Ovis aries: one gene and its partners. The protein of the gene in region 2 binds, or shares a complex with, the protein of the main gene of each other region. Links are inferred from orthologs where the notes say so. Each region holds a gene or a part of one and is shown on either strand. Other genes may lie near its edges.

Region 1 (3,630 bases), on a different chromosome or scaffold from region 2:
ATCACTTCATGGGAAATAGATGGGAAACAGTGGAAACAGTGTCAGACTTTATTTTGGGGGGCTTCAAAATTACTGCAGATGGTGACTGCAGCCATGAAATTAAAAGACACTTACTCCTTGGAAGAAAAGTTATGACCAACCTAGATAGCATATTCAAAAGCAGATATATTACTTTGCCGACTAAGGTCCATCAAGGCTATGGTTTTTCCAGTAGTCATGTATGGATGTGAGAGTTGGACTGTGAAGAAGGCTGAGCGCTGAAGAATTGTTGCATTTGAACTGTGGTTTTGGAGAAGACTCTTGAGAGTCCCTTGGACTGCAAGGAGATCCAACCAGTCCATTCTGAAGGAGATCAGCCCTGGGATTTCTTTGGAAGGAATGATGCTAAAGCTTAAACTCCAGTCCTTTGGCCAGCTGATGCGAAGAGCTGATTCATTGGAAAAGACTTTGATTCTGGGAGGGATTGGGGGCAGGAGGAGAAGGGGACGACAGAGGATGAGATGGCTGGATGGCATCACTGACTCGATGGACATGAGTCTGAGTGAACTCCGGAATTTGGTGATGGACAGGGAGGCCTGGCATGCTGCGATTCTTGGGGTCTCAAAGGGTTGGACATGACTTAGCGACTGAATGAACTGAGCTGAACTGATGCTGAAGCTTCAATAATCTGCCTACCTGATGTGAAGAGCCAACTCTTTGGAGAAGACTCTAATGCTGAGAAAGATTGAAGGCCGGAGGAGAAAAAGGTGACAGAGGATGAAATGGTTGGATAGCATCACTTACTCAATGGAGATGAGTTGAACAAGCTCTGGGAGATAGTGAAGTACAGGGAACCCTGTTGTCCTGCAGTCTACGTGGTTGCAAAGAGTCAGACATGACTTAGCGACTGAATAACAATAACAACAATGTAGTATTTGGTTACTATTGACCTTCTGATGACACCTCAAAAGGAGGCATATCCACTTTATGTGATCCCAGATCACTGAGACATGATGATGTGGATGGCTGGATATCTAGAGCAGACAATGTCAATCACTAAGGATCCTCAGAGGGATGAAGCAGGACAGCAAAAGATTTCATCACATTCCTTGGAATGGCAAAGAATTTAAATGTGAATTGTTTGTTTCTGGAATTCTCGTTTGATATTTTCAGACTGTGGTTGACCACAGGTAAGTGAAACTCTGGAAATAAAAACTGTGGATAAGAGGAAACAACTGTATATAAAATATGATATATATTGCAGTATATTGCAGTTCCTTGGACTGCAAGGATATCTCACCTGTCAATCCTAAAGGAATATTCACTGGATAGACTGATGCTGATGCTGAAACTCCAATGCTTTGGCCACCTGATGCAAAGAGCCGACTCATTGGAAAAGATCCTGATGCTGAGAAAGATTGAAGGTGGGAGGAGAAGAGGATGACAGAGGATGAGATGGCTGGATGGCATCACTGACACAATGGACATGAGTTTGAGTAGGCTCCTGGAGTTGGTGATGGACAGGGAATCCTGGCATACTGAAGTCCATGGGGTCGCAAAAAGTCAGACACGACTGAATGACTGAACTGAGCTGATATTGCAGTAAAAACGGATGAATACAAGAATATTTTCTTTATCAAAGATAAAAAGCATGATCGATATGCTAGGAACTGTTTCCTAAGTTATTTCCTATATTAACATGTTTAACTGATATATAAAAATACAGTGAAATATTGAAGTATTATTACCTCCATTTTGCATAATGAATTATTATTAGCTCCATTATTACCTCCACTGGGTATAGAGAATGTGTATAAAAACCTAATTTAAAAAAAAAAAAGCGATGTTGCTTCCGAACATCCTGCTCACCGGTACACCAGGGGTTGAAAAAACTACATTAGGCAAAGAACTTGCATCAAGATCAGGACTGAAATACGTTAATGTGGGTGATTTAGCTCGAGAAGTTTGATCACCGGATATCATGGAGTCTGGCAAGATGGCTTCTCCCAAGAGCATGCCGAAAGATGCACAGATGATGGCACAAATCCTGAAGGATATGGGGATTACAGAATATGAACCAAGAGTTATAAATCAGATGTTGGAGTTTGCCTTCCGATATGTAACCACAATTCTAGATGATGCCAAAATTTATTCAAGTCATGCTAAGAAAGCTACTGTTGACGCAGATGATGTGCGGTTGGCAATCCAGTGTCGTGCTGACCAGTCTTTCACCTCTCCTCCACCAAGAGATTTTTTATTAGATATTGCAAGGCAAAGAAATCAAACCCCTTTGCCATTGATCAAGCCATACTCAGGTCCTAGATTGCCACCTGATAGGTATTGCTTGACTGCTCCAAATTATAGACTGAAGTCTTTACAAAAAAAGGCATCTACTTCTGCAGGAAGAATAACGGTTCCACGGTTAAGCGTTGGTTCAGTTACTAGCAGACCAAGTACTCCCACGCTTGGCACACCAACCCCACAAGCCATGTCTGTTTCAACTAAAGTAGGGACTCCAGTGTCCCTCACAGGGCAAAGGTTCACAGTACAGATGCCCACTTCACAGTCCCCAGCTGTAAAAGCATCAATTCCTGCAACATCAGCTGTTCAGAATGTTCTAATTAATCCGTCATTAATTGGGTCCAAAAATATTCTTATTACCACTAACATGGTCTCATCACAAAATACTGCCAATGAAACATCAAACACATTGAAAAGGAAACATGATGACGATGATGACGACGACGATGACTATGATAACTTGTAATCTAGCCTTGACGCATGTAACTTGTATACTTGGTTTTGAATCTGTTGTACTGAGATTAAACATGCATGCTGGATATTTCCATGTTGTGTTCTAGAAAGAATAGTATTTAATGAGTAAATATGCTTACCATACTTTTTGATTGAGCTGTTGTGTTAGATTTTCTTTGATAGGATTAGTAATGGTTTCTCGTCACCCTTTAAGTGTAAAAAATAAAGTTGCAATTCGTGCATTTAAAAAAAAAAAAAGCAAATCCAGAAGACTGCATATAGAAGACTGCATACAGAATGCTACCTTATTTTACTAAAACTAAAAATCAAACAATGCTCAAGATTATGTTATTTAGGAATATATATGCAAGAAAAAATTTTCCAAGAATGGGTGTATTATATGGTTAAAAATTAAGAGAGTAATTATCTCCAGGAGATTAGCAGACCTACAGATGGGTGATAGCTTTGAAAGTATTAGCAATGGTCTAGCTCTTATGACTTTCCCGGCGGCTCAGAGAGTAAAGCGTCTGCCTACAAAGTGGGAGACCTGGGTTCAATCCCTGGGTTGGGAAGACATCCTGGAGAAGGAAATGGCAACCAACTCCAGTATTCTTGCCTGGAAAATCCCATGGATGGAGGAACCTGGTAGGCTACAGTCTACAGGGTTGCAAAGAGTTGGACACGACTGAGTGACATTTACTAATATTACTTTAGCTCTTATGACAGGTGGTAGATTCATAGTTGATGATTACAAGATGATGCTTCATAACTTTTATAGGCATTATATATAGTTTTACTTATACCAAAATTATACTTTAAGAAGTTTAGCACCTGCATTTTGTGATATTTAGATTAACTGTTCAGGGGCTATTTTTCTTATTTCCTGGTTTCCAGCTA
Region 2 (4,685 bases):
ACCTCGCACCACTGTGCGTCATGCTTCAACTCAAATCTCGTCTTCCCTGTGAAGCCGGCCCAGGAACCCAGAGTGCGCACGCGTCTCTCCGTCTCTCTATTTCCTCTGCAGGTACTATTGATACCGTGCACTGCTTTCAGCATAATGTATAATAGAGCGCATACGGAAACTTCTGCTCCTGAGTGCTTTGGTAAATCGTTACCTTTGGGAAACTTTTAAATGTAATATTTGTTGAATTAATAGTAACTTCTGATACCTGCTTTACTGAAAAAGCATCTTTTTAAAAAGGAACAAATGCCATCATTCTGTTTTTACTGACATTTCAACACCCTTGTACACACCTTATGGGCAGGGATTTTGCCTAAGTAATCCTACGTCTCCATCAGGTAGCAAATATATAAGTGGTGCTCAAAACACGTTGTGTTAGAAAGACAAAAGAAATGAAGAAACAGAAGACAAGATTGCATAGTGGGGATTTAATTCCAGTCTGAAATAAGAATAGTGGAGAAAAAAGAACCTTAAAAAGTCTGTAACCGGTTAAGTATACCAGGAAGTAGCATTTTTGAAAAGTCACCAGATCACAATGAGGAGTAATGAACCGGATCATCCTATTCTCAACTAAAAGTAAGATAATCATTACAGAGACTGGGCAATTATCCACGAGGTTCACATGCAGGCAAAACAAGGGTCACCCCATGACTCTAGAATACCTGGCTGCTTGCAGTGCCAGCACCCATCTGGTTCTGTGAGTCAGGAAAGGTAACTATGTATTCTGCAGATATTTTGACCTAAAGGTACAGAACAGCCATCGTCATTCAGGGAATTTGGGAGCAAAAAATATAACCAGGCCCATGCATACCGTAACAGTAAACTCACACAAGGGCCAGGAAGGGAGGAGGGAGGAAAATGAAGCAAAAGCAAAGAGCAGTGTGCTGGTGGTACGCGAGCAAGACAACAGTCAGTGAGAGCCACTCGGCAGCTTCAAGTTCAGATTTGACACAGCTGTGAAATCAAGGGGTCCAAAACTACACATTTTTAAAACTCAAAAAGTCAAAGGACTAAATAATTATTATGGTAGTGGCTTATCAGTTCAGTTATTCAACAAGTATCTCCTGGCTGCCTATTCTATTATGGCACTGTACTAGGCTACTGAACACCAATATAATAAATTTGTCTCCTGGGGAGGGAAGAGGAGAGGGTGAGAGATATACACAGATGATTACAAAATAAGGTATTCAGGGACTTCCCTGGTGGTTCAGTGACTAAGACTCCGAGCTCCTAATGCAGGGGGCCCAGGTTCCATCCTTGATTAGGGAACTAGGTCCCAAAAGCCTCAATGAAGACCCAAGATCCCGCGTGCCGCCACCAAGACTCAGCACAGCCAAATAAATACATTTAAAAAACAAACAAGATGTTCAGTTAACATGGCAGAAATATGCACAGAATTATGAGAAGAGATATGATGAGTTTCCTAAAGCAAAATGATAAGTGAATCTCAAAACAGAAGTCATGCTATCCGTGGATGATAGGCCAGCAGAAAGTAAGAAAATGTGAGCTCACAAAGGCAAGCGCGTGCTGCTAGAGAGCTCGGATTCCCAGCCTGTAACTAACTGGAATATTTTTAAGAATGACACAGTCAGGTTTGTGTTATGGCGTGACTGACAGGTTATTCTGATAGGACGATGGAAGTTGGTATGGAAATTGGGACCTAAGAAGTAAAGTGTATCTAAGGGTGTCAATTTTTCAGTGGAGTAACCACCTTAACAAAACAAAATGTTGCATGAAACACTTCACCCGGTTCTCCAGCTTACCACCTCAAAAATAATGCCCTGAAACTTCAGTGAGGGTCAGTCAGTTCCCTCTCCACACACAAACTTCTTATCAATGAGATGATGTGTTGCACCTATTAAAGATTCCAATTTTGTAAATGCCACCAGCTATAGATACTCCTGGGGCTTCCCTGGTGGTCCCGTGGTAAAGAATCCACCAGCTAAGGCAGGAGACTGCCAGTTTGGTCACTGGGCTGGGGAAGACCCCCTGGAGGAGGAAAAGGCAATCCACTTCAGTCTTCTTGCCTGGGAAACCGCATGGACACGGGAGTTTGGTGGGATCCAGCCCAGGGAGTCACTAAAGAGTCAGACATGACTTAGCCACTAAAGAACAGGTACTACCAGATATTCACTTAAAAACCATCTGCTGTAGCCCAGACTACCTGGGGAAGCTTGTAAACTGCCTATGATCTCTCTACCACACTCTGATAACCACTGACATAAAAATACAGACGAGGAGGAAATCAATTGAGACGTAAATGAAAGTGAACATAAGTGAAACTGACCAAGTTGGTAGAGATGCTGCCCGTGAAACGAACAGAAACAGAAAGAAGAGGCAGTGTCCCTAACGGAGCAGAGCTGTCAACGAGTCTGTGTTGTCAGGAGCTGAAGAACGGCCAGGCTTGTAAGAAACGGCCGGTAGACGGAGCGCCTGTGACAACTAGTTGTAGTAGTTTGCGGGCAAGGGGAGGGAAAGGACCAAACTAACAGAGGCTGTAAGGCGTTCTGGAGGGGGTTCTGCACGCTGCCAAAGGAGACGATGATTAAGGCCGATGTCCAGATCAGAGAGGAGGGCAGAGGGTGTGGAGCTGGGAGCGGGGACCCGGCTCCTGCTGCACGCGGGATAAGTTAGCGGCTGGCGAAGAGGCAGCAGAGGGATGACTCGAGTTTCCACGGGCAGTGGGAGCGGAGGAGCGTCAGGGGGCGAGAAGACACCCGATCGCGGGGTGAGGGCGAAGGACCAACACCTCCCGGACGCCGGGAGAGCACAGGGGAGCGCGGAGGTGTCACTCGTGACCGGCCAGGCAGCCTCCCGTCCCCAGCCCCGTACTCACACAGCTCCGAGTACCGGTGGCAGCCCCGTCCCAGCTGCTGCAGGTAGCGTTGCAGCACGTCCGTGAGAAGGTGGCAGGCGCTCAGTTGCACCGAGTCCCAGCCCAGCGCCTGGCAGATCTGCGCCACCGAGACCCTCAACAACGACCTGGAGTAACTCTCGCACATCCCGCTCCGTGGACTCCACCGCAGTCCGTGCCGCCACTTCTCTCCACCTCCGCCGCCTAGCCTTAGCAGGGCCCCCGATTCATTCTCCAAGGCCTCCGCGGCGGGGAAATCGTCCCCCTCCGACCCCCGGCGACCACCTCAAAGCCTCAGCAGCACGGAGCGCGCCAGCCTGAGAGCCGCCATTTTGGACTTGCTCCGCCTCCCGCTGGATGGTCGCCGGGGCGAGGCAGCACTAGCCGAGTGAGGAGCGGGCCGATGCGGAAGCTCCGCCCCGTTGTAGCAGAGCGATGGTCCCGGTTTGACTCTCGGGCCTGGAAGGATGCAGGAAACGGCGGCGCGGGGCGCAGGTGAGGGATGCGCCAGAGGAGGCAGGTTCCTGGGGCCTCCTGGGGTACTCTCTCGGAGGGGACTGGGGAGGGCACCGTCAATGGTTCAGGGCCCGAAGAAGGAGCCAGGATGTGGGTGTTAGAGAGAAGTGAGAACCCGAGAGGCTGTAAATGTAAGAGTGGGATTTAGGGGCGTGGAAACGTACAGTCGCGAATCTAATCACGCCTCTGCTAAAAAAAAAAAAAAAAAAAGATCTGTTTACCATTGTATAGATTAAATCAGGTCCAAGCGGTTAATCATGTCATTCGAAACCCTTCACAGTAGGGCAGGGTGTAAGATGTGGCCTGTTTGGCGCTGACCACCACAATTTAAGGGGACAGCAGAAAACAATGAAAATTACTAGTATTTTAACACAATTATTTAAAAATCCGAGCTACTACCCTGCCCCTTTCCTGTCTCGGGGCACCTCTTTCAAATCGCAGCCCTGGTTCCGATAAAATTTTATTTACCGAAACGGGTGGCATGCTGGTGGGCAAGAGTTTGCCAGTGTTCCCTTCACCAGCGTCTGCTGCTGCTGCTGCTGCTGCTGCTGCTGCTAAGTCGCTTCAGTCGTGTCCGATTCTATGCGACCTCATAGACGGCAGCCCACCAGGCTCCCCCATCCCTGGGATTCTCCAGGCAAGAACACTGGAGTGGGTTGCCATTTCCTTCTCCAATGCATGAAAGTGAAAAGTGAAGGGAAGTCGCTCAGTCGTGTCCGACTCCTCGCGACCCCGTGGACTGCAGCCCACCAGGCTCCTCCGTCCATGGGATTTTCCAGGCAAGAGTATTGAAGTGGGGTTCCTTTGCCTTCTCACCAGCGTCTAGGATCTGGCAAAGGAAGAGAGGACTCAGTTGCCTACGGAGGTCAAAGTCCTTAAATCCAGCTGGGTGTATGAAGATCTGTTGCCTGCTCTAGATTCCCCACTCCAGGTAAGGGCTACCAGATCTTAGGGAGCTGCAGGAAATCGGGGTTTTGTGATCAGTAGCTCGATCAATATTTTTAACTATTGAGATACATTAAAAAAATTTTTATTCTATTTATTTGGCTGAGCTGGGTCTTGATTGTGGTGTGTGGGCTTCTCGTTGAGGCGGCTCCTCTTGGTGCAGAGCACAGGCTCTAGGCTTCAGTAGTTGTGACTCTCGGACTCCAGAGAGTGGGCTCAGTAGTTGTGCTCATGGGCTCAGTTGCTTTTTGGCACCTGGAATCTTCCTGAACCAGGGATCAAACCCCTGTCCCCTGCATTGGCAGGCAAATTCTTATTCACT
Region 3 (4,892 bases), on a different chromosome or scaffold from region 2:
TGCTTTTTCAATGATCCAGTGGATGTTGGGAATTTGATCTCTGGTTCCTTTGCCTTTTCTAAATCCAGCTTGAACATCTGGAAGTTCTCAGTTCAAGTACTGTTGAAGCCTGGCTTGGAGAATTTTGAGCATTACTTTGCTAGCATGTGAGATGAGTGCAATTGTGCAGTAGTTTGGACACTCTTTGGCATTGCCTTTCTTTGCGATTGGAATGAAAACTGACCTTTTCCAGTCCTGTGGCCACTGCTGAGTTTTCCAAATTTGCTGGCATGTTGAGTGCAGCACTTTCACAGCAGCATATTTTAGGACTTGAAATAGCTCAACTGGAATTCCATCACCTCCACTAGCTTTGTCCGTAGTGACGCTTCCTAAAACCCAGTTGACTTCACATTCCAGGATGCCTGGCTCTAGGTGAGTGATCACACCATTGTGGTTATCTGGGTCATAAAGAGCTTTTTTGTATAGTTCTTATGTGTATTCTTGCCATCTTTTCTTAATATCTTCTGCTTCTGTTAGGTCCATAGCACTTCTGTCCTTTATTATGCCCATCTTTGCATGAAATGTTCCTTTGGTATCTCTAATATCCTATGGTTCATTTAGGCATAATTGCAGGTTGTAATGCTTGTTAGCTTGCTTCCTTTGTGCTTCACATAATCAATGAGGTTGTGTGCTCCTTAAGGATAGGAAAGATTTTACAGAATTTTTGTATCCAAGACAGTACCTGAATAAATACAATACTTCTCTGTCCATAACCATCAAAGAAAACCCTTTCTTTTATGCTTTGTTTACAGTAAAGTATAGGAAAAGTTTTAATTAAAAAAAGTACTTTTCAAAAATCTTTTTCTGCTTCCAGAATTGCATGTATATATCAGGCAGTCCATTCTATATTAGTCAAAGGCTTGCTTGCTTTTTTTAATTAACATTTTTAAATTGTAAAATATGATATTCATATAAAGAAGTATGTAAACATGTATACAGATTAATAGATGGTATTAAATCAAGTAAGGGCAGTACATAAACCAAGAACTTCCGGATGTACAAGCTGGATTTAGAAAAGGCAGAGGTACCAGAAATCAAATTGCCAACATCCATTGGATCATAGAGAAAGCAAGGGAATTCCAGGAAAACATCTACTTCTGCTTCATTGACTTCACTAAAGCCTTTGACTGTGTGGATCACAACAAACAATGGAAAATTCTTAAAGAGATGGGAATACCAGACCAGTTTATCTATCACCTGAGAAACTTGTATGCAGGTCAAGAAGCAACAGAACCAGACATGGAACAATGGACGGGTTCAAAACTGGGAAAGGAGGACATCAAGGCCGTACACTGTCATCCTGCTTATTTAACTTATATGAAGAGTACATCATGCAAAATGTGTGGCTGGATGAACCTCAAGCTGGAATCAAGATTTCCTGGAGAAATATCAACAACCTCATATATGCAGATGATACCACTCTAATGGCAGAAAGCGAAAAGGAACTAAAGAGCCTCTTGATGAGGATGAAAGAGGAGAGTGAAACAGCTGGCTTAAAATTCAACATTCAGAAAATGAAGATCATGGCATCCGGTCCCATCACTTCATGGCAAATAGACGGGGAAACAGTGGAGACAGTGACAGATTTGATCTTGGGCTCCTAAATCACTGCAGCGACTGCAGCCATGAAATTCAAAGACGCTTGCTCCTTGGAAGGAAAGCTATGACCAACCGAGACAGTGTATTAAAAATCAGAGACATCACTTTGCTGGTAATGTCTGTATAGGCAAAGCTGTGATTTTTCCAGAGTTATGTACAGATGTGAGAGTTGGACCATAAAGAAGGCTGAGTGCCAAAGAATTGAACTGTGGTGTTGGAGGGACTCTTGAGAGTCCCTTGGACAGCAAGGAGATCAAACCAGTCAATCTTAAAGGAAATCAACCCTAAACATTAATTGGAAAGACTGAAGCTGAAGCTCCAATACTTTGGCCACTTGATGCAAAGAGCTGATTCATTAGAAAAGACCCTGACGCTAGAAAAGAATGAGGGCAGGAGAAGGAAGCCTGGAGGAGGGGGGCGGGGGGCAACAGAAGATGGGATGGTTGGATGTGATCAACACAATGGACATGGGTTTGAGCAAATTCTGGGAGATAGTGAAGGACAGGGAAACCTATCGGGCTGCAGTTTATGGGGTTGCAAAGAGTTAGACACGACTTAGCGACTGAGCAACAGCAACCAAGGGCTCCTCTGGTGGCTCGTTGGCCAAGAACCTGCCTGCCAGTACAAGAGACACGGGAGATGGGCGTTCGATCCCTGGGGGAGGAAGATCCCTTGGAGGAAATGTCAACCTGCTCCAGTAGTCTTGCCTGTAAATACCCCATGGACAGAGGAGCCTGATGGGCATAGTCCGTGTGGTCGCAGAGTCGGACACGCCTGATCTACTGAGCAGGCAAACATTAAATCAAGTAAAGAAACCCAGTATTGCTAGCACTACAACCTCCAACCCATCCCTAGCCAAGGAGGACCTTTCCCTCTAGCCAAAGTCAGTTAATTTGCTTGCTTTTGCACATCCACATCCCTCAGTTGCTTTATCCATTCTGCAGTTTATGGATATTTAGCTCATTTCCAGTTTGGGGCCATTAAGAACATCTTTATGAACATTCTTTCACGTCTTCTGGCCAGGGTACATACCTCGGCGTGAAACTGCTGGGTCATGATGTGTGTGTATTTTCAACTATGTCAAGTAATGCCAGTCCCTTTCCGAATTTACACTTCAATAGACTCTTCGAGTTTCCGTTGCTCCATAGTTTTTCCAATGTCTTTGTAAGCTCAGACTTTAAAATTTCTATCCATCACGAGTGATTTCGAATATTTGCCTGGAAAAGAAAGCCTGTACCTCACTGCCAGGTCTCTTCGTAGAGCAGGCAATAGCTACCGACTGGAAAGGGAGGGCTCTGGCCTCCAGGAGCAACGACTGGCGCGAGATAGAGCGGCCGGAGGCAGCGCCGCGGAAACCGGAAACGGCACAATTTCCGGTCGAGGCAGCCATCTTGCCGTGAGACAGCAGGAGAGCAGCCGCGGAATGTTGTCCTCCGTTGCCTCGTACTCGGGCGCGGGCCGAGACCTGGCCATGGAACCGCACAGCTCCGTGGGCCCTTTGCAGCTGCGCTTTTCGCCCTACGCTTTCAACGGAGGGTAAAACCCGCAGAGCCGCCGCTTTCTCTTTCTTCCTCCATATCCCTGCTTAAGTCTGTCTGCCCGGCGCTGCCCTTCCAGTCTCAGGCCTCCCTCTCCGAGGTTGCTCGGCTAGCTCTTGTTCTTCAGGGCTTCACCTTATAGGCGGGTCACTGGATCTTGATGTGGATGGCCAGCTTTACGTAGACAGCAGATAGAAATTGACACCTGACCTCCGCTCTGAAGAGCTTTAAAAATGGACCTGTCTGAATGTGCTTCTCTAGCCAGCAGGCACGGGGCAGGTTGAACATCTGAGATTAAAAGTTAGGGTTGATTGGCCATGTGATTAAATATAGCTGTCTAGCGAAAGTGAAGTCGCTCAGTCGTGTCCGACTCTGCGACCCCATGGGCTGTAGCCCACTAGGTTCCTCCGTCCATGGGATTCTCCAGGCAAGAATACTGGAGTGGGTTTCCATTTCCTTCTCCAGGGGAATCTTTCTGACCCAGGGATCGAACCCAGGTCTCCCGATTGCAGGCAGACGCTTTAACCTCTGAGCCATCAGGGAAGCCCTGTCTAGCTAATAGGTCTAATCAAATCACCATTTTGAGTTGTTTTAAATAGCAGGTAGGATTACTTGCACAGACTTAGTTTCATTGATCAGTGTTTAGTTTTAAGGGCTAGCGTAAGTTCAGGGGAAAAATACTCAGAAGGCGGACCTTTGAATGTGTGTATTCTTGCATGTTGTATGTGAGCTTTTCTTTCTTTTTAACTTACCCGCTTTATCTTAATACTTTTCCTTGACAGTGCACTGAAAGAACTAGGGTTGTGGAAAGGCACTCTCTTTAGGACTCTTCACTGCGAAGAGCTGTGTATTTAAGCATCGTTTATAGTTTGCCAGCCAAATTTTGTACTTTGAAACGTACACACCAAATTAATCTGGTAATCTTTAAGGACCATCCAAAGACCAGATTAATTACTCAGGTCTTATGGGTTTGAAATTTTAATGTAGATTTTTGGGGTATTTGCAAAGAAGGTGGAAGTGTGATTTTAGCCTTGTCTCTGACACTAAAGAGCAGTGTAGTGTTTGGTACCTACCTCTCAGCTCCTTGAACCCAGATTTCCTTATCTTCCTTAGCTACTCATAGTTTGAGAGAAGAATCAAAAGAGAAGCACTTTGTAGATTGAAAGCAGGTATCTTTTTAATCCTCATGATGACTGACTGTTAGATGATATATACCTCAATTTTACAAATGAACCTGGGCTCTTAGAAGTTTAATTTTGTTAGTCATAGCGCTGGTGTGAAGTTGAACCCCAGGACTTGAATCCATACCTGTGTTGCTATGAAGTTGATGAATGCTTTTATCATCGCACTTTTAAATATTTCCTGTGACAACTAATGAAGTGGTGGGATCACAAAATGAGTTATTAGACCCATTTCATGAGACAGTTGCAGATTCTGCTTGAGACTATAAGGTATTCAGTGTTTATTACTGTCTAACCTTTGTGATCTAATCACTGCTCCAAAGTTAGTGCTTATGGCTTTCTGACATTGAATTCCCTTATCTTAGTCTGTGTCCTTTTCCTTTAACATCTATTGCTGCCTCTTGGGCAGCCTTTGCTTCTACAAAATAAGACTCGGTCCTGTGTCCTTCTCGTCTGACTGACTGTGGTCAGACTCCAGGTGACTGGCCTGTGCACGTGCCGCTGAGCACTTCAAGGCCACACCATTCGGCTCGCC
Region 4 (4,549 bases), on a different chromosome or scaffold from region 2:
ATTTAAAGGGCTGCAAAAATAGCATGGAGTTCCAGAATCCCTATATCCAGTTTCCCCTTATGTTAACATCTTACACAACCAAAGACATTTATCAAAACTAAGAAACTAACACTGGTACAAGTACAGCACTTCTCAGATTGCACCAGTTTTCCCACTACTGTACTTTTTCTGTTCCAGGATCCCACACTAGTTGTCGTGTCTCCTTAGTTTCCTCTGTTCTGTAACAGTTCCTCAAACTTTCCTTGTCTTTTACAACCTTGACACTTCTGAAGAATACTGGTCAGTTATCTTGTAGCGTGTCCTTCAGCTTCGGTTTATCTGATGTGTCCTCATGATTAGGTTGTGCTTATGCATTACTAGAAGGGAATCAGAGTGATGATGGACCCCTTAATGCACCATATTAGGAGTACCTAATGTCAACATATATTACTGGTGATACTAACTTTGATCACCTGACTAAAGTAATGTCTGCCAGGACTGGATTCTCCACTATAAATTTAATATTTTCTCTTAAATATTTTGAGGAAAATACTGTCATTAACATTGTGATGGGGAGAATTCATCAGTAGGGAAACATACTTCACTGGAAAAGGAAAAACTTATTAGATAGGAAGTATGTAAACCGTATTTGGTTAAAGAGTCTGTAAAGACAAACAAATAGAGAAGTGAATGCTTTGAAATCTTGTGTTATATTAGCAAAAAATATTTTTAAAACAAAGAATGTCTAGAAGAACAGATCTTGGTCAAGATACATGAAAATTCAGGTAAGACAAAGAAACAGCTGTGAAGATTCCGAATTCTTGTCATCATAAAAATAAAGAAATCCAAGTGGAACAAAGGCTCTGGTAAGAAGTATGCTAGCATCACTATGCGATGCTCTGGTGCAGTAATCCTCTTATGCCTACCTAAGAAGTAACTGTGTTAGTCACTCAGTCGTGTCGACTCTTTGCGACCTCAAGGACTGTAGCCCGCCAGGCTTCTCTGTCCATGGAATTCTCCAGGGAAGAATACTGGAGTGGAGTGCCATTCCCTCCTCAAGAGGAACTTCCCAACCAAGGGATCGAACCCTGGTCTCTTGCCTCGCAGGCAGATTCTTCACTGTTTGAGCTACAGGGAAGTCTCCATAAGACGTAAAACCATATACGAATGGAGTAAATAACATCAGAAATGGAATAATGAGCAGTCAACTTTAGGTGAGAAATTGAGATATAGGAAAGGATTTGAATGGCTTAAAAAACCAAACTACTTGACTCTGTAGTTTCAAGAGCATTTAGGAACTGCTTATGTCGGAACTGGCATAAGTAAACCAAGTGTTCCATGTGTTGCCTGATCTACACTCAGCCATAACTATGTATAAAGGACCAGGACTGGAAGATGGAGAGCATGTTCTCATGGTGCCTTTCAGGGGCTGGCCTGAATCATCAGTAATAGAATCAGCTCCTCTTGCCACTGCCATAAAAGGTCAAACCCGTCTACTGAAGGAGGAGAATAGACCCAAAACTTTATGATCTCCATGTCACTGGACTGCCTCACATTGTTCACCATCTTCCTGCCTTGTCCATTGCCTTAGTTCAAAGTCCCAACTTAATTCCTACCCTCAGACCTGTTCAGGGTCCAACAGAACCTTCGGCTTACATTCAAAGGAGTCCCTGCTCCAACTGATGAAAGGTAAGGAACAGGTAAAGTAACGGAGGTACGTTCTTACTTGGGACCTGAATTGAAACACTGATCACATGTATTTACTTAAAAAATTTAAAAACGTATGTCTGTGTGAGCCCATATATACACACATATATATAAATATATAAATTGGGGTTAAATATATAAATTGGGGTTAGGATCATTACTATCTATGAATCACAGGTTAAACAGAATTTATACGGAAGTCTGAGAATAGTGTCCCTACAAGGAAACTATTAAAAAATCATTCTCAAGTACTACTTACATTCTTTAGAAAAAAGTCTCTTTCTTTTACCCTGTCCACCTTCTGCACCTCCTCCAATTTCTTCATTTTCTTCCTCAAACTGAAAGTTAAAACGTATAGATATGTCAAACACTGCTTCTGACATTTTAATAATTAGCTTTTTTTTTTTTTACATCTTCAACACCAGTATCATGCCAGAAAGCCTAAAGCAAGCAGCAAAAAACAATGAAACTTTAGCATTTTGGGGGCATTAAAACTATCTCGCCCAACTTCAGACTCACGCAGGAGTGGCTTCTACAATGCCCCGTTAGGCATCGTACTGCTTCTCCTGGGGGAGTTCCAACGACCATACATTCTTTTTTTAAACTAAGTTGGCCTATTTCTAGATAGTTTTACTATTAAAAGAGTTGATATTGAATGAAAGCAAGCAAAACTAGTATTTGTTAAGCATTTCCTACACAGTGCTAAGAACTTTCCTCAAGTAAACCTTAAGCCTATTTTATGACATGAAAACTGAGGCTCAATTACTTGCTCAGTGACTTGAGTCCATTATTTTTCCACTACTTTACAGTAAAGTGTACAGTTTTCTTAGCACTTGAATTGTTGTTGCATAATGAGCCCTAACAAACACTAGCTTTGCCCCCTGATGATTCTCTAGGTGATTCAAAGGGTATCTGGCAAATATGAACCAAAGGTAAAGGGCGGGGAGCCACCTACTCCTCCAGCCCCGCTTACTAAAAGGATGAATCAGAAGAAAAAGGCTAGCCCGGGGAGAAGTCCCCGATTCTCTCGGCAGAATCACTGAGGTAAAGAAACCCAATTCTCCACTATGCTTCCGCTACTGTGCTCGAGGTAGTAAATTAAAAAGTAGGTTGGAACAGAGGCGGTCACTCACGGTGGGATCCTCTTCTTCATCTGCCATCCCACCAGCCAGCCGCCTCCACTGCGCGCCCGCCTTCCTCGGAGAGCTTTTTACTACTTCCGCTGCCTCATTTCCGGTGACGAGAGGGGCCGGGGCGGGGCCTAGCGGAACCTCCCCTGTGGAAGAGGAACAAGCACCTCCCGCCCAGCGGTGAAACCTGAACAGCGAAGGATAAAGTCTTGGAAAGTAGGAATTAAACATTAGCATAGAAAAGGGATGAGCTAGATGGCGTGTATCTCGTTGTCACCTTGAGCTTTCTTCTGCGTATCAGATCTCCGCTTCCTGATTCGGTCCTGTGAAGCTTTGGATCATTGAGGGGCTAGACAGGGGTGAATTTAAACAATTTGAACAACTTAGAGTTCCACTATGATTTATTGCCAGGGCTTCCCTGGTGACTCAGATGGTAAAGAATCTGCTTTCAGTGGAAGACCTGGGTCCGATCTCTGTGTAGGGAAGATCCCTTGGAGAAGGAAATGGCAAACCACTACAGTATTCCTGCCTGGGAAATCCCAAGGACAAAGGAGCCTGGCGGGCTGCAGTCCAGTTCAGTTCAGTCGCTCAGTCGTGTCCGACTCTTTGCGACCCCATGAGCCAGAGCACGCCAGGCCTCCCTGTCCATCACTAACTCCCGGAGTTTACCCAAACTCATGTCCACTGAGTCGGTGATGCCATCCAGCCATCTCATCCTCTGTCGTACTCTTCTCCTGCCCTCAATCTTTCGCAGCATCAGGGTCTTTCCAAATGAGTCAGCCCTTCACATCAGGGGGCCAAAGTATTGGAGTTTCAGCTTCAACATCAGTCCTTCCAATGAACAGCCAGATCTCCCTAAGGATGGACTGATTGGATCTCCTTACAGTCCACGGGACTCTCAAGAGTCTTCTCCAACACCACAGTTCAAAATTATCAATTCTTTGGCGCTCAGCTTTCTTTATAGTCCAACTCTCACATCCATACACGACTACTGGAAAAACCATAGCTTTGACTAGACGAACCTTTGTTCACAAAGTTATGGCTCTGCTTTTTAATATGCTGTCTAGGTTGGTCATAACTTTCCTTCCAAGGAGTAAGCGTCTTTTAATTTCATGGCTGCAATCACCATCTGCAGTGATTTTGGGGCCCCCAAAAACAAAGTCAGCCACTGTTTCCACATCTATTTGCCATGAAGTGATGGGACCGGATGCCATGATCTTAGTTTTCTGAATGTTGAGCTTTAAGCCAACTTTTTCACTCTCCTCTTTCACTTTTATCAAGAGGCTCTTTAGTTCTTCACTTTCTGCCATAAGGGTGGTGTCATCTGCATATCTGAGGTTAGTGATTTTCTCCTAGCAATCTTGATTCCAGCTTGTGCTTCTTCCAGCCCAGCGTGTCTCATGATGTACTCTGCATATAAGTTAAATAAGCAGGATGACAATATTACAGCCTTGACGTACTCCTTTTCCTATTTGGAACCAGTCTGTTGTTCCATGTCCAGTTCTAACTGTCGCTTCCTGACCTGCATACAGGTTTCTCAAGAGGCAGGTCAGGTGGTCTGGTATTCCCATCTCTTTCAGAATTTTTCAGTTTTTTGTGATCCACACACACAGTCAAAGGCTTTGACATAGTCAATAAAGCAGAAATAGATGTTTTTCTGGAACTTTCTTGCTTTTTCGATGATCCAGCTGATGTTGGTAATTTGATCTGTGGTTCCTGTGCCTTTTCTAAAA
Region 5 (4,635 bases), on a different chromosome or scaffold from region 2:
AAGGAACATTCAATGAAGTGTTTCAGTCCGCTATAGTATTCTTCATACATCGTGGGGTCTCCCTGTTGGCTGTAGGCTGAGAGCACGGCACTGACATCTGGCTGGTCTTCCACAGCTACACTTCCAACTGTTTAAAAAATGAAAAATAACTTCAAGAAAATGACCTGACAAGCACCAAAAGACTAAGGCTGTTTTGTTAAGGTCCAGAGGAGAACTGTTTCACAGATGTTTGTCCCTCTCCTCTCAAACACTCTTCCCCGACACAATCACAAAATCTTTTAATGGGATTCAGTTTGTTTCAGTTACCCATCCAACACTTCCTTGGTTTGTCCACATCTTAAAATAAAAATTTTCAGATCAACAGCAAAAAGATTCAGCATTTTTCCTAGAGCTTCACTATTTTAAAAACAAATTTTATAAAACATGGTATGTGCAAATCAAACAACGGTATTACTCTTCTCTCAAGGCTCAGTGCAAATGGCACTCACCACCACAAAGCCATGCCCTGGAGTAACATTCCCAGCCCTCTGAGCTACCTGAGTATTTTATAACTTTTCAGCAACATATCTTATCCTGTGTTACCTTCACGTATGTCCATCTATCACTCCCTATAAAATACAACCATGTTAATGGTGGGAAGAACTTGCCTTTTATATTTCCAAAAGATAAATCTATTTTATATGCTTAAAACAATTTCCATAACCACCATTTCAAGGCAAAAAGCATGAGTATTTATTTGTAATATTTCAATACCAAACAACGATACATCTGTCAATCAAATGAGGGTTTGTGGGAAATTTTTTTTAAGTTGTGATTACAGTACTGTTATGCTCTTTACTGCACAAATTTTCAGTTTTTTTGGTTACTATGATGGCCTCTTTTCCTTTCTATTGGTTTCTCAGTTACAATCTGAAGGTCAAGTTTCTAAAGAGATGAGAGATTATAGCAAAATAATCAACCACATAATTCATCCATCTTATAGTTCATTCCCAAATTCAGATTCAAAAAAGATTCCTCTCAATCACATTTGCACACAGTTCTACTTATGGGTTACAGCGCTTATTCATACCTCACTCCTGGAAATGCTGCCAAGATTAGGTCTCATAAACACAGGTTAATTTGGCAAGAGGCTCTACAATGGGTAATTTAATTCAATAAACATTTTTTACTGGCTCAGGATCACCTTTGAAACTTTATGTTGTATATGACTTTTACTGCATGGACTTTTTGACAACAGTTGCTGAAGGAAAAGGGGAGCGGGAGCCTCAGGTGTCAGGGATAGGTACTTGGCATAAACTTGTCAGTGCCAGACATTTTACATATATATGAATCTCACAATAACCCGTTTAATAGAAGGAAAAAAACTCTCAAGCTTAGGAAGAGTAACAATCAGCATCACACAAGTAAAAGCAACAGAGACAGAAACTGAAGTCCAATACCTGTTCCTAAATGAATGGGTCTCAAACCTTGCCATAGATCAACATCTCTTGGAAGCATTTTTTTTTTTTAATCCTTAGAATATTTATTTATTTTTGGCTGCGTTGGATCTTACTAGCGGCTCCGAGGATTTTTCCTTGCCGCATGCGGGCTCAGTAGTTGCAGAGCGCGGGCCTAGTTGCCCCACGCTTGAGAGATCTTAGTTCCCTACCACGTTCCCACATGCCCTACGTTGGAAGGCAGATTCTTTTTTTTTTTTAGTTTTTATTTTTTAAATTTTAAAATCTTTAATTCTTACATGCGTTCCCTAACCACTGGACCACCAGGGAAGTCCCTGAAGCATTTATTTGAAAATGCAGATTCCCAAACTCCACCTTCACAGGATCTGATTCACTACGTCTGAAGTGATGCCCAGGAATCTGCATTTCTCTAAAAGATTTGATACCAATGGTATTTAGCCTATATTTTGAGAAAGACTGGCTTCACTATGTACCACCACTCTCTGGCTGTGCGGTCCAAAGCAAATACCTTGGCCTTTCTCGGTCTGGTTTCTCATCTCTAAAATAGAAGTACTGTCTACCTCACAGTGGAACTGTGAAAATTAAGATAAACAACACAAAATATTTATAGTAAAAGTACGCTAGTACAAATAATGTTGCTGCATCCCTGCCCAAAGCTCAAGAGCCCAAATAAGAACCAAAAGCCTGGAAGTTCCCGCCTCTCCGCGCCCACCGTCCCCATACATCCTTCGGCTCAATAGCTCTCCACAGCCTCTCGCTGGAACTGACAGCTCGGAAGAGGGTTTGACTGCGCAGCCGGCGCACTAGGGAAAGGGGCGGGCATGTGGCCCTAGAGGCGGGCCCAGGAAATTCAAAACAAGCCCGCAGAGGTGCAGGCCTGCCAGCCTCTGCCTTCCCGGCTCACTCCCCGCCGTGCCGGTCCTGCCTACCCCGGACCCAGCGGCTCACCTTTACCCGGAGCCACAGAACCTGTCGCTAAGCCCGAGACGGCGGCGGACCCCGAAGCGCCGCTGACTGGAGGATCCGGGGCCGAAGGGCCGGGCGCCGAGGCGGTGACCCGGCTAAGAAGCGCGCTGGCTGTCTCAGCGCCGGCGCTGTCTGCCTCTCCCGGGGCTCCGGAGCCCGCCACTGCCTCCTCCAGCAGCCGGGCCTCACGGCGCAGCGCTTCTTCGGCCTCGCGGAGGTTGCTCTGCCGTAGAAACTGCAGCACGGCGAGCAGAGTCTGTCGGTCGTGGGGAGCGCTGGCCTCCGGAGCAGCGGCGGGCACCGGGGCCGCCCCCGCCGGTGCAACGGCGGAGACAGCCACCGAGGGTTTGGGGGTCCCACCATCCCCGCCGGCCGACGACGCCGCCGCAACGTTCCCGCCGCCGCCGTTGGGGCCGCTGTTGGTTGTGCCGCCGCCACCTTCGCCAGCGCCGTCCCCCGCCTGCGGAGGTAGCAGCGTCGGCGGTCCCTCAGGCTCTAACTTCACCGCCACCTCCGTCTGCTCCTCTGCCAGCGCCGCCATCTTGCGGCTGAGCCACCTCGCGCCGTCAAGCGTGATTGCGTTTTCGCCATATGGAGGGCGGGGAGGAGCGTTTTACGACATCTCTGGAGGGCAATTTACGGCAGTAGGAGGGGCGATAAAGAAGGAGAAAAAGGAATCGCAGCAAGAGCAACTTTCAAAAGTGAGTGGCAAAAAGGCAGGAAGTGGGACGTCGGGGCAGCCTCTTGCATTTGCCGGATAATAGTTACATTTATTACAGACCAGCTATTTTTCAGGCACTGCGATGGACGTTTTACATTATGTGACCTTTTATTCAGCAGTCATATAAAGTACCATTATTCTCACGATACAGATGACTGAATCAAGACCTAAAGACATTTTTTAAATGCCAAAGTCACACAGGAGGAAAGCGTCAAGATTCAAAACCAGGTCTTTATCTTAAAAGCATATATCATTTACCAGAAGGAGGCTTCTGAGTTACTGGTAATGTTTATATTTTTTTCTGGATGGCGGTTACTTTTCTTTTTCCCATTTATGCCTTATAAAAATTAATTGGGCTGCAAGCTCACGTTTTGTGAACTTTACGCATATATGTTATATTTCAATAAAAAGTTTTTAAGAACCTGAATTTTGTGATTGTGAAATGTGTATATGCTGTATTCGTGCTATGTTAACCATTATTACAAGCAGGCCGCATTTTAGTTGTATATTTTAAAACAGTATGTGCCATTTTGCAACATGCTTCATAGGTTTAAAAGCACTGCTGCATGTTTGAGGACTTACGTTGTGGCTCAGACGGTAAAGAATCTGCGCTGCATATTTGGTCTCCTTTGACTCTCACAACGGTATGAGATAGGTGCAGACAAGAAAAGTGAACTTGGGACATGGGGAAGATCGAGTTATGTGAGGATTAAATAAGATAGAGTCCGTGTGGTCGCAAAGAGTCGGACACCACTGGGCAACTGAACTGAACTAAACACATAATAAATAACTATTGGTTATTTTTACTGAACCTTAAGCGGTGTTCTGCAAATGTTTCCTAAGAAAGTCTAATCATGACATACATGGTGATCTCAAGACTGAAATATAAAACTAGTGGAATTTGACATAATGTAAGATTATGAAACATGGGTAGGGGCAAGGGCAGAGAGGGGGGAGGAGATGAGCATTTAAGTTGTTCAGTTTCTTGCTTTACTAGCAGTTGCACCTTCCTCTGCATCTCATTACTTTTCTCTATGAATTTGTATTTCCCGGAAGGTATCAGCTACCTTGTCTACCCAGAAGGAGAGGCTAAAGCCTAGCATTGGTAAAAGGTGAAGGATGCACCCAAAACAGGAAAACCTGTGATGTGTTGGCCCCATCACTCCCTGTTTATCAACATACATGCACACATGCACACACACATATCCTCAGAGGTTTCACAGTTTTTACTGATCTATCAATTTCAGTGCCATCTCTAGGGTTGAGTGTGATGGGAGAGGTAGCCACTGGTGTGAGTTTACAATCTTGTTCAGTTCCTAAGTTTAAATTCACAAAGCTAAGAGTGAATTTAGAGTTTGCCTCCTAAGGTAGGTAATTGCAAAACTGACCTGCACTACTCCAGGAGCAACTTAATAGTGTGGTTATTGACTACTGCCACTGAATGTACCTAGTCTGAGCTAAGGTGTTCTCTAAGTGTGAGATATGTGCTGG

Evidence for each region.
Region 1: TAF3 (region 2) and transcription initiation factor TFIID subunit 9-like share a complex: the UniProt entries of both Homo sapiens proteins name them as parts of the TFIID basal transcription factor complex. The link is inferred for Ovis aries from reciprocal best matches to the Homo sapiens genes TAF3 and TAF9.
Region 3: TAF3 (region 2) and TBP share a complex: the UniProt entries of both Homo sapiens proteins name them as parts of the TFIID basal transcription factor complex. The link is inferred for Ovis aries from reciprocal best matches to the Homo sapiens genes TAF3 and TBP.
Region 4: TAF3 (region 2) and TAF13 share a complex: the UniProt entries of both Homo sapiens proteins name them as parts of the TFIID basal transcription factor complex. The link is inferred for Ovis aries from reciprocal best matches to the Homo sapiens genes TAF3 and TAF13.
Region 5: TAF3 (region 2) and TAF5 share a complex: the UniProt entries of both Homo sapiens proteins name them as parts of the TFIID basal transcription factor complex. The link is inferred for Ovis aries from reciprocal best matches to the Homo sapiens genes TAF3 and TAF5.

Annotation. Positions count from the first base shown.
Region 1 is NC_056065.1:58,198,316-58,201,945, forward strand, and holds transcription initiation factor TFIID subunit 9-like, read left to right. Parts: upstream 1-1,822; 5' UTR 1,823-1,960; coding exon 1,961-2,746; 3' UTR 2,747-2,877; downstream 2,878-3,630. UniProt on the Homo sapiens protein: The TFIID basal transcription factor complex plays a major role in the initiation of RNA polymerase II (Pol II)-dependent transcription.
Region 2 is NC_056066.1:12,225,707-12,230,391, reverse strand, and holds the start of TAF3 (transcription initiation factor TFIID subunit 3), read right to left. Parts: upstream 3,258-4,685; 5' UTR 3,051-3,257; coding exon 2,885-3,050; intron 1-2,884. UniProt on the Homo sapiens protein: The TFIID basal transcription factor complex plays a major role in the initiation of RNA polymerase II (Pol II)-dependent transcription.
Region 3 is NC_056061.1:91,732,854-91,737,745, reverse strand, and holds the start of TBP (TATA-box-binding protein), read right to left. Parts: upstream 2,920-4,892; 5' UTR 2,671-2,919; intron 1-2,670. Other genes in the region: PSMB1 (proteasome subunit beta type-1), read left to right, coding at 3,062-3,174. UniProt on the Homo sapiens protein: The TFIID basal transcription factor complex plays a major role in the initiation of RNA polymerase II (Pol II)-dependent transcription.
Region 4 is NC_056054.1:86,377,745-86,382,293, forward strand, and holds the start of TAF13 (transcription initiation factor TFIID subunit 13), read right to left. Parts: upstream 2,891-4,549; 5' UTR 2,847-2,890; coding exon 2,820-2,846; intron 2,025-2,819; coding exon 1,946-2,024; intron 1-1,945. UniProt on the Homo sapiens protein: The TFIID basal transcription factor complex plays a major role in the initiation of RNA polymerase II (Pol II)-dependent transcription.
Region 5 is NC_056075.1:23,656,896-23,661,530, reverse strand, and holds the start of TAF5 (transcription initiation factor TFIID subunit 5), read right to left. Parts: upstream 3,002-4,635; 5' UTR 2,965-3,001; coding exon 2,406-2,964; intron 128-2,405; coding exon 1-127. UniProt on the Homo sapiens protein: The TFIID basal transcription factor complex plays a major role in the initiation of RNA polymerase II (Pol II)-dependent transcription.